2 linked regions of the Schizosaccharomyces pombe genome follow. The protein of the gene in region 1 interacts with the protein of each later gene in a biochemical or structural test. Each region holds a gene or a part of one and is shown on either strand. Other genes may lie near its edges. The genes, in order: sro1 and pka1.

The links.
Region 2: of the proteins of sro1 (region 1) and pka1, one has a biochemical effect on the other in vitro, tested with the Schizosaccharomyces pombe proteins (one study listed by BioGRID).

The regions. Positions count from the first base shown.
Region 1 is NC_003423.3:4,079,859-4,084,022, forward strand, and holds sro1 (protein sro1), read left to right. Parts: upstream 1-2,000; 5' UTR 2,001-2,348; coding exon 2,349-2,669; coding exon of another isoform or gene 2,670-2,786; 3' UTR 2,787-3,340; downstream 3,341-4,164. Other genes in the region: cdc23 (MCM-associated protein Mcm10), read left to right, coding at 1-1,362; SPOM_SPBC1347.14C (uncharacterized protein), read right to left, coding at 2,421-2,786; centractin family actin-like protein Arp1, read left to right, coding at 4,079-4,095, 4,139-4,164. UniProt on the Schizosaccharomyces pombe protein: Stress-responsive protein that may play a role in regulation of cell cycle.
Region 2 is NC_003423.3:394,985-399,650, forward strand, and holds pka1 (cAMP-dependent protein kinase catalytic subunit Pka1), read left to right. Parts: upstream 1-2,007; coding exon 2,008-3,546; 3' UTR 3,547-3,973; downstream 3,974-4,666. Other genes in the region: cut4 (anaphase-promoting complex platform subcomplex scaffold subunit Apc1), read left to right, coding at 1-381; plg7 (1-alkyl-2-acetylglycerophosphocholine esterase), read right to left, coding at 4,384-4,666.

The sequences.
Region 1 (4,164 bases):
AAAAGTGAAGAGGAGAAATTTCCTATGAAATGTGATGAAATCGATCCTTATTCAAGACAAGCCATTGTTATTCGATACATAAGTGATGAGGTTGCTAAGGAAAATATAGGGGGAAATCAAGTTTATCTCATTCACCAACTACTCAAACTAGTAAGAGCTCCTAAATTTGAAGCGCCAGAAGTTGACAACTATGTAGTTATGGGCATTGTTGCCAGTAATAGTGGAACCAGAGAAACTGTGAATGGGAATAAATATTGTATGCTAACACTGACTGACTTGAAATGGCAACTGGAGTGCTTCCTGTTTGGAAAGGCGTTTGAACGATACTGGAAGATCCAGAGTGGTACTGTCATTGCGCTTCTCAATCCTGAAGTACTAAAGCCAAAGAACCCAGACATTGGACGCTTTTCTCTGAAGCTGGATTCTGAGTACGATGTACTTTTAGAGATTGGTCGCTCCAAACACCTTGGCTATTGTTCCAGCCGAAGAAAAAGCGGTGAACTATGTAAACATTGGCTCGACAAGCGTGCCGGAGATGTATGTGAATATCACGTTGACCTCGCTGTCCAGCGGTCCATGTCTACGCGAACGGAGTTTGCTTCAAGTATGGCGACTATGCACGAGCCTCGCGCACGACGTGAAAAGCGATTTCGTGGACAAGGGTTCCAAGGATACTTTGCTGGGGAAAAGTATTCCGCAATTCCTAACGCAGTAGCTGGTTTGTATGATGCAGAAGACGCCGTTCAGACCGAGAGGGAGCGCAAGGAACGATACAAAAAACAACGAGCGCAGGCTGAACGCGAGCGTGAAATTTTGGTGCGATTATCGAAGCGATGTTGCGCTTCCTCTTCGTCTAGCTCTAACTCGAATAACCTCTCTACGGGAATGTCGATGCGAACACTCGGCCATCAGTATCTAAATTTACAAGGTTCCGGCGTTAAAAATTTACATGACAAGGGTAATCCCACTGCTCTTTCTAAAGATAGCGAAATTGATTCATCGACGAAAAAACCATCCGTTCTGGCCTCTTTTAATGCATCTATAATGAACCCTAAATCCTCTCTACCATCTTTTTCTAACTCTGCTATTCTCGGCACTAACGATGCGGCATCAGGGACACCCGTTCCACAAGATACTACATCCACCAAAGTTTCCCCAGCGGTAGTGTTTACCTCTTCGCCGAGGATTTTTTCCCCCCAAAGTCTACGAAAAATAGGTTTCGATCCAACGCATTCCGCAGATGCATCTACAACGCACTCCACAGCGACTGGACTTTCACGATCCGGCTCCCTAAAAAATATCAAATTCCGATATGAATTTACTGAGAGTGATGATGAGGATGACTTAGAAATAGTTCCCTGAATTTTACGTTGTTTTTCTATACATTATGATGAAAATTAATTATTTAAATTACTAACCAACTTACTAATTAATTAGCTAGCTAATGGATATAGCTATGATTTCAAATGAATGTTCTTTTGTTTACATGCGACACACTTTGCTATCATGAAACTTTCAACCCTTTGTTAAACCTTTCTTCTAAATCCTAATCCTTAGTAAATCCCAATGGAATATTTGAAACGCTTATTAAACACAGTCGCTCTTTTCATTTGTGATGTCAACTGTTTGAATTCAATGTGCGAAGTCTCCCTTTTTTGTTCTGCTAGCTTCTCTCTCATACAAGAACGGCCGTTACAGCTTTTGACATCACATTGTTTATTAATCAAACGAACGTAAGCTTACTTTCATATGGTATGATGGGCTTGTAAGCAATACTAAGATAGCCAGCCAAACTGAGGTACTGTCGACACCTTTAGCTTACGATTGCTTTCGTCTAGGTATCGGACTTTACACTGCTAGTCGCCTATTTTAACGTTGCGCCGTATGGAACGGGTATCGCATTCTTATCAGTAAGGAAAGCTATCTGAATTCGTCACAAAGGAAAAGGCAAATAAATAGTCTAAAACTATATAAATGCGGGCTTCCATCTAAGAGACCTCGCCATCCAACAATTGTTGCGTCCCACCTAAACAGTGTCTAATCAAAGTCAATTGCGAGACATTCTAAAGTAAAAAGTTAATACATTTTAGCTACTACTAAATACTTCTTTTGATATTCTTTTTAGTGAACAATAAAGAATATTGGTTTGATCAACACGGTCATCTTCAGAAAAAAAATTTTTTATTCGTTGGTTTAATTAGTTAAGAAAATTTTTTTTTTCTTTCTTCGCTGACGTCTCGATAATTAAATCTGCGAACGGTGATACTTCTATTCTACACATTTCTATTTAATCACTGTTATTTTCTTTTCTTTTTAATTTCATCAATAAACATTTTTGATTCATCGCTATGTTTTCTATTCTTAAACAAGGTGTCATCTCCAAGTCTCTTTTAGCCGCTACCTCTTTAAAGGCAACGGCTTCAAGATTTTCCTTCTCTACTAGTGTTGCTTCCCGTGTTGACGGTACTAAGAATGGTTGGTCTTTTACCGCATCCAATGTTGCTGATCAAACCACCGATATCGGCATTAACTCTGAGTCGGCTATGAGCTGTAACGACCAAGAGCAACCTCTTTCCTTTTACGTTCAAACTGTCAGAGATGACTTGAACTCTCCTAATTGGGGAGCTGAGCAAAGAAAGGGTGCATTTGATTGGGAAGTAAGCGCTTAAACCCGAATATTGTATACAAGAAGAAAACCCGATTTCCGTTATGATCAGAAGAAAATAATAAAAAGGGAAAACAAAAAATTGGAAAATTGAATGTTTTATCTTATTCGATAAAAGCATTAAACAATCTAACAATGCAATCTTTTTTAATTCGTTATTTTCGCTTTTCTTTTTTTTTTACTCTTCTTGATGTAATTGTTAAGACATGGATTTTATTTTTATTTTTCTAAGGAATTTCGATTATTGGAATTCTTTTACCACCCCCATCCCTCTTTTTATTACCAGTTTCAACACATTGGTTCCCCTGCTTTAGAATGTTTATCGATATAAGCCGTGAACGGTTCCTTGCTTTTACCATTTTTAAATGAGGCAAGACATATGTATTATTAGTTTATACCCCCAAGACTTGTTAGTCTTTATATTATTAGTTTGTCTACTTGTTGACTATAATGATAGTCGCTGATAAAGTTGAAGTTTCCACCTTAATCTTTGTTATTTTATATCCAATTCGCCATGGTCACATTGATTTGATTGAATTTTCGGTTGCTGGATTACAAAAAAGAAATGCCAAATGCGATACAACTGTTACATTTAGATTCAGAATAGGAAATTGTTTGTATAATTAAAAAATAGAAATTGTTTATTTTAATACATTACTACTGATTAATGAGTAGATGAATGGTGGAAGATTGTAAACAATTATGAAGACAAGGTCAGCATTGTCTTTCCGTCTAGCTAAGAAGCAACCCGATGTGCAATTTATAAAGTAGTGCGGTTTAGTGTTGATACGTTATCTTTTTGATAGTTTGATTAGTTATTTCGAAAACACGTTAAAAATGCAGTGAATTTTGTACAGTCTTCTTTACAATCCATTCAACAACAATTACGAGTACGAGCGGCTTTATGATGGGTCTAACCAAGATGTAAACATAACCATTATTAAGCATATACTACAATTCAACTGAAGAAACAAATTCAATCGAAAGGGTTGTCGTAATTTCTTTATATGGTTTTCATTCAAAAAGCCTATTGAATGAAACAACTTATGTATGATAATTGCAGGGTATAGTGATACATAACGAAGCTTAATACTGCTAAGTTTCTTGTCAAGCATGCTACTTTCTTTAGACAATTCCCAATTGCTTTAACTAATAGCTGTTAGTGACCAATTTCCATTGGTTTAAGGTATTTTTTTAAAAAATTGGTACGATTGTTGTTCCTCCTGTTAGTATAAAATTTCTTGGCAAAGCCCAAAACCTTCAAAGTTGCGTCTTCTATTACTGTTTACCCGCCATTTCCTTCATTATTGCTAGTGCTCTCAAATTTCAAGCCGCTTAAAGAATAATTTAAACCCTTAATAAAACTTTCTTTTAAAACCTCCGAGTCTCAACTTTGATATTTCAGCTTTTTGGATGACTGTTACTGAAATGTGCGTGTCTTTTGAAAGAATTCTATTTATTGACGCGTTTTAGCTTTGATAATCAGCCGATATGTATCG
Region 2 (4,666 bases), 3.7 Mb from region 1:
ACAAGTTCAAAAGAAGAGCCACTTAATCTATTCCCTAAGCTTAAAGATACCTCAAGCCCACTTTGGAACTTGGTAAAAACAAGCAGGTTGTTCCAAAGCTCGAATAGCCCCTTAAACGTTGCATCGTTACAAGAATCAAATAATAAAACTTCTCTAGGCGTTAAATTACTCCTGTCTATGGACTTTGATAATTTAACTAGAGACCGTTTATTAAGTTTGCAAATACTGTTACAATTTTTTGAGTCTTGTTGGACTGGTGTGCTCTTGAATAAGTTTCACTCCCGTCAATATCTTTTCCTTTCTCGTGATTTGGTAGAAGATTTGAGTTTGAGAGTATGGGAGTATGTGTATTCTCATAATCATAATGAAGAATCTGTATAATTATGAACTACGTTTATTAATTATATGATATGCTAATGGGCTGAATGGTTTCCAAAAATCTTTTCCATCATATCAATCCTTCAAAAGGAAAATTGAAGTTTAAAAAAATAGAACCCCTTAAAATTAACGACTTGTATAAATACCTTAATGTCTCAATTAATATACAAGGTGGCATATCCAATGCAACACTTTTTTCACGATCATGATTAATAGCTATCTTCAAATAATGGTTTGTTAAAAGGAAATCGAAGTTAATAATAAATTGTTAATTGGAATACTGATGCTCAAACTATTTCACTGGGCAAAGTAAAAAGAATATTATTGCGACAACTACTAAGCACCCATGGTTCTTCAAGGGGTAATACCGCCTGTCTCAAGGCGCCGTTGAAAATAGATTAGCTTTTTTATCCTTTTTCTATATCTTTTCCCTCCTTTCGTTAATTAATTGATTTAAGCATGACACTTCGAGCTACTAACTAACACTATATCGTTGTATGCTGTTTACATAAGTTCTTGATGTTCGAATCTATGACTTTCGAGTAACGGTTCCAAATATTATAATTTAATGAATTACACCCGATAATTAATACACTGTATTAAACCATCTAAATCCACCTGACGAATTCAATCTTAAAATTTAAATAGAAGTCTTTAAATCCGACATGCACTGAGATGCTGAAGTTTTGTAACGATCTACATTAAATTCCCCTATTATAATTTACGTACGATTATTCGCCTCATTAAAAATTCCTTCGTTTTTGAGGGGTAGTAAGGGCATGACTTCAACCTTGCATCCTATGACACAACACTTCTTTCGTTAGCAAAACACAAATTGAAGCTTGCGAACGCATAGGAAGTGTGAATAGCTCGTTTCTCGAAAGCCGCTAATTCTACAAAAGCTTTCTGTATCAAAAAGACTTGTAGTTTTACTTAATACACCTTTGGTTCTGCGCTAAGAGTGAAAGGCTCAGTATTGTTGTGAAAACCGTGAATCTGTAACGTCGGTTTATGTTAATTTGTATTTTTGAACGCTTGCTATAACTATTGTTATCTATTTTTGTCTGCTATAGATTATCTTTGAAGGACTCAGAGTCGATTTAGCTTATCTTCTTATTTTTTGTCTCAGGTGTATCGAATTATCGTTCGTGTTCATTTGTACTTTTGGAATAACAGTTTGTTAGACATTAAGTTGCTTCCAATTTTACTTTGAAGGATTTCGTTTGCCCGGATTGATTGAGCAAACGAGTATTATTTGTCTTTATTCTTGTTGGGTTTTTACTTGTGTTGAGCGACTGGAATTTCACTTAAAATAGTTTCTTTTCTGCCGCTGTCCTCTTTATTTTAATAAATTATTTAGAGGAAGTAAATTTCGCTCTTTCTATCTACGCTGATTCTTTATTTATTTTTGCTTCGCTATAATAAGCAGCGCACCAAAAAAGAACTCTAAGATTACTGCTATTGTTGCGGTTTATATACATATATTCGAAGGTTGTTCAAAGGTAACGACCTTTTTGCCTCGACCTCTTTTAACCTTATTCTTGTTTTCGGGTACTTTATAAGTTTGACGAACGATTAGTGAATTTTAATTATCTTTTCGTGTATAAACGCTATTTCACATTTGTACTCATGGATACGACTGCCGTTGCTTCCAAAGGAAGTACTAACGTGGGTTCTTCAACTGACACTCTATCTACAAGTGCCTCTTTGCATCCATCTATGAATGCCGGCAGCGTTAATGAATATTCGGAACAGCAGCGACATGGAACAAATTCTTTTAATGGCAAACCCTCTGTTCATGATTCTGTTGGTAGTGATGCAAGTGTAAGCAATGGTCATAATAACCATAATGAATCAAGTCTGTGGACTTCGGGCATCCCTAAAGCTTTGGAAGAGGCCACGAAAAGCAAAAAACCCGACAGCTTGGTTAGCACCAGTACGTCTGGCTGTGCAAGTGCCCATTCTGTTGGTTACCAAAACATCGATAATTTGATCCCTTCACCTCTTCCTGAAAGCGCGAGTAGAAGTAGTAGCCAAAGCAGCCATCAAAGACATTCGCGGGACGGTCGTGGTGAACTAGGTTCAGAACACGGAGAGAGACGGTCAGCTATGGATGGGCTACGCGATCGCCATATTCGTAAAGTTCGGGTTAGTCAGCTGCTCGATTTACAGCGTCGAAGGATTCGTCCTGCTGACCACACCACAAAAGATCGATATGGAATACAAGATTTCAATTTCTTACAAACATTGGGCACTGGCTCGTTTGGTCGAGTTCATCTCGTTCAGTCGAATCACAATCGCCTGTATTACGCCATCAAGGTTTTAGAAAAGAAAAAAATCGTTGATATGAAGCAAATAGAGCACACTTGCGATGAGAGATACATTTTATCCCGTGTCCAACACCCGTTCATTACCATTCTATGGGGTACTTTCCAAGATGCCAAAAATCTGTTTATGGTCATGGATTTTGCTGAAGGAGGAGAGCTTTTTTCTTTGCTTCGTAAATGTCATCGATTTCCCGAAAAAGTTGCCAAATTTTATGCAGCAGAAGTGATCCTTGCTCTTGATTATCTTCACCACAATCAAATCGTATATCGAGATTTAAAACCCGAAAATCTTCTTCTTGACCGGTTTGGTCATTTGAAAATTGTGGACTTTGGTTTTGCCAAACGCGTCTCTACTAGCAACTGTTGTACTCTTTGTGGTACCCCCGATTATTTAGCCCCGGAAATCATATCTTTAAAACCGTACAACAAAGCTGCAGATTGGTGGTCCCTTGGTATTCTTATCTTTGAAATGCTTGCGGGTTATCCTCCATTTTACTCTGAGAATCCAATGAAGTTGTATGAGAATATCCTTGAAGGCAAGGTCAACTATCCATCGTACTTTTCTCCTGCTAGTATTGATTTGTTGAGCCATTTACTTCAGCGAGACATAACCTGCCGCTATGGAAATTTGAAAGATGGTAGCATGGATATTATTATGCACCCTTGGTTCCGTGATATCAGCTGGGACAAGATCCTTACTCGGAAAATTGAGGTTCCGTATGTTCCTCCCATTCAAGCTGGAATGGGTGATTCCAGTCAATTTGACGCTTATGCTGATGTAGCTACGGATTATGGAACATCTGAAGATCCTGAATTTACTTCTATCTTTAAGGACTTTTGATGTTTTGTGCCACGTTTGTTTTGTTTTAAGATACTCGAATGCTTATTGATTCATTGTACTATTGCCTTAAAGCGTTGAGCAACGAATGCCTATTTGATTTAGTGCAATGCAAGTGACGTTTGTAGCACTGATTTTGCAATTCACCAATATTGGCTTCAGTTTTTTGTGCTGGTGTAATGGACCGACTTTATGTTTGGATGGGATATGATGATCTCAGTTGAAGCTATTTATTTTGATGTTTTTCCAGGCAATTAGCCTGCTCTGATGTATTTCCACTCCATTTTATTTATATATTCTGTTTTTTTATGGTTATGTTAAACCCCAAGTCATTTCTTCTTCATGTTGAACAGACAAAAGAGCATTGTTTGTTGAAACTGTGCAACAACTAGATACATATATCCGCTAATAATCATTGAATTTCCTTGTATCTATAATTAATGGTGGTTTCATTCGTAATTGGTTGGTAAATTATTTTGTTGAATAAATAATAATGTAAAATGATAAAAGAATCTATCAGTATATAAGACATATTACAAATTATAAATATTAGTCTAAATTTTTCAAAATCACACACTTAGCGTAAATGTTCGTCCTTAATCATCGCGGTCCTAAGCACAGGCTCCCAAAAAGTAATAGTTACCATATTCAATCCACATTAACAGGTAAGCTTTCGAAAATCTTCTTTATAAGCTATAAGAAATTTGTGCCAAACAGTTAACTCATTAGCATGACAGTCAATAAATATTATAATTAGCATCGGCGATAGATAAAAAGACAAGAAAAGTCAAAAGAGTTTTGTTTTTAAGAGTTTTTAGCTCTTTGTAAAAGTGGTAAATACTACATAATTCTTTCCCACCCAGGAATAATATTTGTTTGCAACGACGAAGGATCATTATCTCCCTGAACATTTTCAACATGATTTTCACGAAGGAATTGTACAGATGAACGAGTATTAATGCGTAAAGCTTCATAAGGGTCTGCTTCAAATTTTCCTTTCAATACCCTTAGTACCATGCGAGGGAGCAAAATCGGTAAATCGCTTTGGTTAGCATGTACTGTTCCATCATAAACAAACACGTGGGAATATTTTTTTAAAGGAACGACAGACATTTTCTCATCA